Callithrix jacchus: one gene and its partner. The protein of the gene in region 1 purifies or fractionates together with the protein of each later gene. This does not show direct contact. Links are inferred from orthologs where the notes say so. Each region holds a gene or a part of one and is shown in the gene's direction. Other genes may lie near its edges.

What was found.
Region 2: the proteins of PDHA1 (region 1) and OGDH fractionate together in Homo sapiens (co-fractionation; 3 studies listed by BioGRID). This does not show direct contact. The link is inferred for Callithrix jacchus from reciprocal best matches to the Homo sapiens genes PDHA1 and OGDH.

What each region holds. Positions count from the first base shown.
Region 1 is NC_133524.1:19,820,707-19,824,353, forward strand, and holds part of PDHA1 (pyruvate dehydrogenase E1 component subunit alpha, somatic form, mitochondrial), read left to right. Parts: intron 1-2,224; coding exon 2,225-2,284; intron 2,285-2,835; coding exon 2,836-3,009; intron 3,010-3,647. UniProt on the Homo sapiens protein: The pyruvate dehydrogenase complex catalyzes the overall conversion of pyruvate to acetyl-CoA and CO(2), and thereby links the glycolytic pathway to the tricarboxylic cycle.
Region 2 is NC_133512.1:12,701,902-12,706,072, forward strand, and holds the start of OGDH (2-oxoglutarate dehydrogenase complex component E1), read left to right. Parts: upstream 1-1,278; 5' UTR 1,279-1,384; coding exon 1,385-1,423; intron 1,424-4,171. UniProt on the Homo sapiens protein: 2-oxoglutarate dehydrogenase (E1o) component of the 2-oxoglutarate dehydrogenase complex (OGDHC). Participates in the first step, rate limiting for the overall conversion of 2-oxoglutarate to succinyl-CoA and CO(2) catalyzed by the whole OGDHC.

The sequences.
Region 1 (3,647 bases):
CCACCACACCTGGCTAATTTTGTAATTTTTATTTTTGTAGAGATGACAGTCTCACTATGTTGCCCAGGCTGGCTTTGAACTCCTGGCCTCAAGTGATCCTCCCACCGTGCTGGGGATTACAGGTATGAGCCACAATGCCCAGCCTAGTTTTTATTTTATTTTTTAATTTCAATGGGTTGTTCGTGGTCTCTGTCAGAGAGGAATCCCATTTAACAGAGAATCTTTTTATGGCTCTCCAGGGAAAATAAATGGCAAAATTATCTTTTCAACAAGCTCTCACTCAGAAATTACAATATACTTGCACTTCTGACAGGACTTTTAGCTTCTTTAACTTCGCTGCTTTCACTCATCTCAGTGGTTCTTATTTTTGAGATACACGATACTGAAGCAAGGGGAGAACTATCTGAGTAGCTTTCTGGCAGTCCTAATCTTTGCAGGCACAAGATTACAGGCACGTGCACCGGCCCCTCTTGCTCCTCGTTGTATAGCATTATCTTACCTCATTGTTTCAACTCTGGGATTGAGAAAGAAGTTACCTTTTCCCTGTTACTGTTAGCTGGCTGGTTTGGACTCCTGCCTTCCAAAAACTGCAGTTTCTGTAGGTGTATTTGGAAATTTATTTCACAATACAGTAACAATTTCTGACCTCACAAAATAATTTATTAACTGCCAAGAACAGTCTGTTTGATGATTGCCAGGCGTAACCATTCATTTGCTATTTCACCCTGTCTCAGCTTGACTTCTCAAATACACTTTTTCTGAGATATGTTGGGGAACTGTCTCTACCTCTAAGTTAATGGAAACACTGATTCCTAGTATTTGAACTGTTTTCCTCCAGCAGTGTCATAGTCTGTGTTTGTCGGCTTTGTCCCATGATGGTCTATTGAGGGGTGAAGAGATGCGTAATTAGCTTTCTGCCTGTTGGCTTGTACACTCCAGGATAAACTTGGCAGATCAGTCTTAACTCTTCTCACCAAGATCCAGTCCAGTGCTGGACTAGGTAAGGTATGAACACGTCAGATGTGCTTTTTATGGAGAAGTCATCTTGGTTTACATGTCAGTGTGAGTGTGTGGCAGAACGGGGCTAAAATAATATGATAATACTAACTGGATACATTTTGTGGTCTAACCTAAACCTGAGCCATTGCATAGAAGACTTGCTGTGAGCAGGTTTGCTCAATTGTAAAACCGGAAAGGAATCATTTCTCGCTTCCCCCCAAAGCTTTTTACCTCCAAACAGTGATAGCCACCCAAACATCAAAAGAACGTTTCTTTCCACTGGGGCTTCAAGAGGAGCCTACCCAAGATTTAGACTGTTTAAATTGTAAATTATAAAACAGCTGCCTCAAGCCCATTATGTTTAAGTCAAGAGGGCTAAGTGTTCTTTTACCTCGTCTCCCTAATGTGTTTATCTCAGACTTCGACCAATTTAAAGTATTTTTTCTTGCAGATCCAATTTGATAGAAGAGTGAAGTTTGCCTGGAGTGGGGATTAAATCATGGTTTTATTTGAAGTATAATTTCAGCTTGCTTAAAATGAACAGTACCGGGTTATGACTAAGAATAGCATAAACAGGCCGGGCACGGCGGCTCACGCTTGTAATCCCAGCCGTTTGGGAGGCCGAGGCAGGTGGATCACCAGGTCAGGAGTTTAGGACCCGCCTGGCCAGCATGATGAAACCCCGTCACTACTAAAAATACAAAAATTAGGCTGGGCGCGGTGACTCAAGCCTGTAATCCCAGCACTTTGGGAGGCTGAGGCAGGAGAATCATTTGAACCCGGGAGGCAGAGGTTGCAGTGAGCCGAGATAGTGCCACTGCACTCCAGCCTGGATGACAAAAGCAAAACTCGATCTCAAAAAAGAATGGCAAAAAACAAACTCAGCTCACAGATGACCTAGTCTCTTTAGCCACTAATTTCATTATATTCTCACTATAATTTCTTTGACAACAAAGGATGGGTTTGGTTTTTGCCCCTTTCTCTTTGCACTGCTTGCCTTCAGATGGCGGTATGATGGTGTTTCATTGGCCAAAGCATGGATTCATTTTGGAGGACAAGGAGGATGCAGGCACAGTGCACAGAGTGAGAGAGAAGTCCATGCATATGCTGGGGCTTATTAACTTTCCTTAATTTCATCCTGGTAACTGATGAATAGTAATTGTACTTTCCAAAATTGCTGACAATTAAAAAGTACTGATTTGCTTGTATATTTTTGTCTTTCCAGGCAAGCAGAGTGCTGGTAGCATCCCGTAATTTTGCAAATGATGCTACATTTGAAATTAAGGTAAGAAGTGTTTTACTTCGTTAATAATTTTTTCTGATACACAGCTTTACCTTTAGAATAGAACATTTTGATGTTCATGCTGAGCCATCATTTTCTTAACGTTCCAGGATCAAAGGTTCAGAGAAGTGTCACAAAAACTAGAATTTATTATTAGTGGCTTGCTCGTGTTCTGTGGGGTGAAGGGGGAGAAGCTAAAAAATAAAAATAAAAATAAAAGCTTATTCTAAAGTTTAGAATGTAACTCAGTGAGATATTTGAATAAGAAGAGTCTTAGTTGTTTCTTTGAAGGTTCTTTCAACCTGTAACTTAGTTGGCTTTTAGGGGCTTTCAGTGAAAATCATCTTAGAAAGATTTCCTTCCCCTCAAGCCCCATCTCATTGCACAGTGAGGTGTACCGATTGAAGGAACAGAGGCAATATGAAGCATCACTAATGTGCTCCTTTGCAGCTTTTCAAGTTCAATATTATTTGCAATGGAGTTAGGCCTCAGAGTGGTCAACAGTGTTTGCAGTGTAGTATGTGGAGGATAGTAACCACCTTACTCCCTTGCAGAAATGTGACCTTCACCGGCTGGAAGAAGGCCCTCCTGTCACAACAGTGCTCACCAGGGAGGATGGGCTCAAATACTACAGGATGATGCAGACTGTGCGCCGAATGGAGTTAAAAGCAGACCAGCTGTATAAACAGAAAATTATTCGCGGTTTCTGTCACCTGTGTGATGGTCAGGTGGGTGGCAGGTTTGTGATAGAGCTGTGTTATTTAGGTGTTGAAGTATGGCTTGTACTTACTGGGCTTTACCCTGCCTTAGGTGTCGAAAGCATTTGAGGCTGGTCATGTAATTTTCTTTTATTTATTTATACTGTTGAGACAGTCCCTGTCTGTCGCCCAGGCTGGAGTACAGTGGTACGATCTTGGCTCACTGCAGCCTCTGCCCCCTGGGCTCAAGCAGTCCTCTCACCTCAGTCTCCTGAGTAGCTGGGACCACAGGTACACGCCACCTCACCCAGCTAATTTTTGTGTTTTTTTTTTTTTAGAGACGGGGTCCCACTATGTTGCCCAGGCTGGTCTTAAACTCCTGGACTCAACCAGTCTGCCCACCTTAGCCTCCCAATGTGCAGGGATTATAGGGGTGAGCCACTGTGCCTGGCTGAAGCCAGTATCTTAGAATGAAAGGTAGAACGCCAAAACCCACTATGAAGCTTAGGCTATAAACCATTCATTCACACATAACATTGCCAGTGTATATACCTGTTCTTAGGGTTTTACTGTTGTAAAACCTCTGGCATTGTGATCATCCTGTACTCTATACAATTTGGGGAGAAAGGATTCGTTTGTTTGTTTTTTGTTTCGTGGGTTTAGGTCAA
Region 2 (4,171 bases), on another chromosome or scaffold:
TTCCTGCCTTAGCCTCCTGAGTAGCTGGAATTACAGGCGTGCGCCACCGTGCCCAGCTAATTTTGTACTTTTAGTAGAAATGGGGTTTCTCCATATTGGTCAGGCTGGTGTTGAGCTCCTGACCTCAGGTGATCCGCCCATCTTGGCCTCCAAAAGTGCTGGGTGTGCCCGGCCCTGTCTATGTTTTTAAAATTTTAATTTTGTAGAGATAGGGTCTTGCTATGTTCCCCAGGCTGGTCTCAAACTCCTAGGCACAAGTGATTTTTTTCACTTCAGCCTCCCAAAGTGCTGGGATTACAGGCCTTTTTTCTTGTATATAATGCACCGTTTCTGTCTCTGGCTGCCTTCAAGATTTTTTCTTTGTATTCAGTTTTCAAAATTTGTTTATGATGTGTCTTGTGCATTTATTTGAGTTCATGCTGTATGGGGTTCTCTCTCAGCTGCGTAAATCTGTAAATTTATGCCTTTTGCCAAATTTGGGAGATTTGTAGCCATTATTTCTTTGAATGCTTTTCTAGCCCCTCCCTCTGCCTTCATCTGGTACTCCAGTGACATCAATATTAGATTTTTTCTTATAGTCCCACATTTCCCTGAGGCCCTGTTCTGTCTTCAAGTTCACTGATTTCCTCTGTCTTCCTTATTCTGCCATTTAATGCATGCTTTAAGTTTTTTTGTTTTGCTTAGTGCATTTTTCAGTTCTGAAATGTCTATTCTCTGTATCTTTGCTGAAACTTTTTTTTTTAAGATGGAAGTCTCACTCTGTCGCCCAGGCTAGAGTGCAGTGGTGCAGTCTCGGCTCATTGCAACCTTCCGGGTTCAAGCAGTTCTCCTGCCTCAGCCTCCCAAGTAGCTGGGATTCCAGGCATGTGTCACCATGCCCGGCTAGTTTTTGTATTTTTATAGAGACGAGGTTTCACCATGTTGGCCAGGCTGGTCTTGAATTCCTGACCTCAAGTGAGCCTCCCGCCTCAGCCTCTCAAAGTGCTGGGATTACATGTGTGAGTCACCACTCCCGGCCAAGATTGTCCTGGTCCTTGATATAAAGAGTGATCTTTGATTTGCAACCTGGACATTCTGGGTGTTGTGTTATGAGACTCTTGATCTTGTTTAAATCTCTGAGCAATGCAAGCTTCCTCTGCTGGGGCAGGGAGGGGTTGCCGCCTCACTGTTGCTGGGTGGGGTGCCTGGAGGGGAGGGGCTCCTTGTTATTGCACCTAATGGGTGTAAGAGTTCCCCATTAAGCCTTGGTGATATCACCCTGCCTGGGAAGGGAGGGGTGCTGCTTCATTACAGCTGGATGGGATTAAAATCCAGACTCCCTACCTGGTCTCCACTGATTTATCAGGAAGTGAGTTGAGGAGGGGTCATTATTCACCAGGTGGGGATGAAAGTCCCTGGCTCTATTCTCTATCAACTGAGTGGAGTAAGTATGTTTCCTGTGGAGTTTGGCTGCAGTAGAGCAATTGTTGTTTAAAACTTTAAACATTTTCCATCTTGCTGCTCTTTTCCTGGTCCTTTGGCTAGAGAGAACAGGTTTCTCTTTGTAGTTTTCTTTGTCTGTACCTGTTGGCGTTTCTGGGTTATAGGCTTCTGCAGTACCTGGTGTCTGAGACATATGAAGCAAAAGAAAATCAAGAACTCAGTGCTTGGCCAGATGTGGTGCCTCATACCTATAATCCCAGCACCTGAGAGTCCGAGAGTCGCTTGAGGACAGTAGTTTGAGGCCAGCCTGGCCAACATGGTGAAACTGTCTCTACAAAAATTAGCCAGGCGTAGTGATATGTGCCTGTAGTAGTCTCAGCTACCTGGGGGACTGAGATGGGAGAATCACTTGAGCCCAGGAGGTTGAGGCTGCAGTAAGTTGAAATCATGCCACTGCACTCCAGCCAGGGCAACACAGGGAGATCCTGACTGAAAACAAAAAAAGAGAACTCAGTGCTCTTTCTTTGGGTCCTGTGGTTCCTAGCCAGTCTGCTTCCTTCCGTCCACCTTTCAGAATCTTGTTTTGTCTTAAATGTAATGCCTCCTGTTTTTAGCTATATGTATCAGGAAACAGATTTCTTATATATGCTTTAATGAAATGTTGAAAAATTGCCCTGCTTTCCATTAAGATTTAATAATTTGCGCTCTATCAATACCTTTTATTTTTATTTTTATGTTTATTTTTTTGAGACAGAGTCTTGCTCTGTCGTCCAGGCTGGAGTGCAGTGGTGTAGTCTCCACTCACCACAACTTCTGCCTCCTGGGTTCAAGTGATGCTCCTGCCTCAGCCTACCAAGTAGATGGGATTATAGGCACGCACTACCACACCGGCTAATTTTTTGTGTTTTTAGTAGAGATGGGGTTTCACCATGTTGTCCAGGCTGGTCTCGAACTTCTGACCTCATGATCCTCCTGCCTTAGCCACCCAAAGTGCTGAGGTTAGAGGCGTGAGCCACTGCGCCCAGCCTATCAATACCTTTTAAAAGTGACTATCTACACTCTCCGCAGGCAACCTGTTTATACCACGTCAGGCATGGGCACCTCTAATGCTGTGGGGCCACATCTGAGGGAAGGAACAGAACAGTCTTCAGCCCTGCATACTGAAGCGTATTCAGAGATCTGACCAGGGAGGTGACAGTCCCTACCGGTAGTGACAGCCCATGATTGGTGAGCTAAATAGGCTTCTGCGCTAAACAATTCAGACAGCCTACTAATGTTTTGGAAGTTACCAGTTGACCGCCACTCCAAATTAGCTATGTTTAGGTTTAAATATCTTGGGAACTTGAACTTTTTATATCACTAGTTTGGCTTTTTTTTCCTGGCTAGTGATAATTTTCTTTGCTTTTTTTTTTTTTTTTTTTTTTTTTTTTAGTTGGAGTCTCACTCTGTTGCCCAGGCAGGAGTGCACTGGCACAATCTTGGGTCACTATAGCCTCCACCTCCCCCAGTTCAAGCAATTCTCCCACATCAGCCTCCCAAGTAGCTGGGACTACAGGCACAGCTAATTTTTTGTGTTTTTAGTAGAGGCGGGGTTTCACCATGTTGGCCAGGCTGGTCTCAAACTCCTGATCTCAGGTGATCTGCCCACCTCAGCCTCCCAAAGTGTTGGGATTTCAGGCGTGAGCCACCATGCCCGGCCATTTCTTTAGTCATAAATACACCTTCAAGTTTTCAAAGTGCTTTCATATTTGTGTTATAATTACAAAAAGACATTATGAGGAAGTTAGGAGTAATTACTGTCTCCACTTGATGGCCCGGAAAGCTCACACAGTGACTTGGTGTCACGCAGGCTCCGTACCTGCATGCTCCACACTTGTTTCCATCTAGCAATGAAAAAAAAGCTTTGCAGTTTGAAAGTAATCCTCACTACGTCCCTGTCCCTCAGCTTATGTGTAATGGTATGTCACTAGTGAAAGATATTAAATTCTTTGAGATTCTCAGCCAATAAGGGAGAAGTGATATCTGTACTCTGTCTGTACATCAGTTTTTTTTTTTCTTTTGTACATCAGTTTTTTTGTATTACTACTAAAACAAAAATAATTGCAGGCATGAGATAACAGCCATTGGCCTGTAGCAAGCATTGTGCTCATGATTCATCAGAAGAATTAAGTCTGAAATTGAAAAAAAGAAAGTGGATGAGTTGTCCTTTAAAATGGTTGCCAGATAGCACACATAGGGTGTAAGGATTAGGTAATGATGCATGGTTTTTTCCCTCAAAGACTCATTTGCTGCGAAACAGCAGACTGTTTTTGCTAGGTCTTGCCTTTTTAATTACCTCTCTGCCTAGCCAACATATATTGATAGGTGTCAGTAGTCGGTTTATTTCTCTCATTCTGTGTGCCCTGGGATAGGGTGCCTCCTGCCCATCTGGGGACATTGGAGACACAGACCTCAAAGGCTTCATATTTCAGACAGAATCCTATTTAAGTATATCATTTCCTAAGGGCAGGGCATTTAACACTTAAAAACAAATTTTCCTTTGGTTTTTAATTGTTTTCTCTTTACGTCTTATTTTTCCCAAAAGTATGTGTTTATTCTTGCATCTTGAAAATGGATTACAACTTGTATCATTTTTGTTTACAGTGATAAGTTCACTTAAATTTTTTCTTACACATTAAAAAAATAACTTCATTGAGATGTAATTCAAATGCCATACAGTTCACTCATTTAAATTGTAAGGTGAATGTTT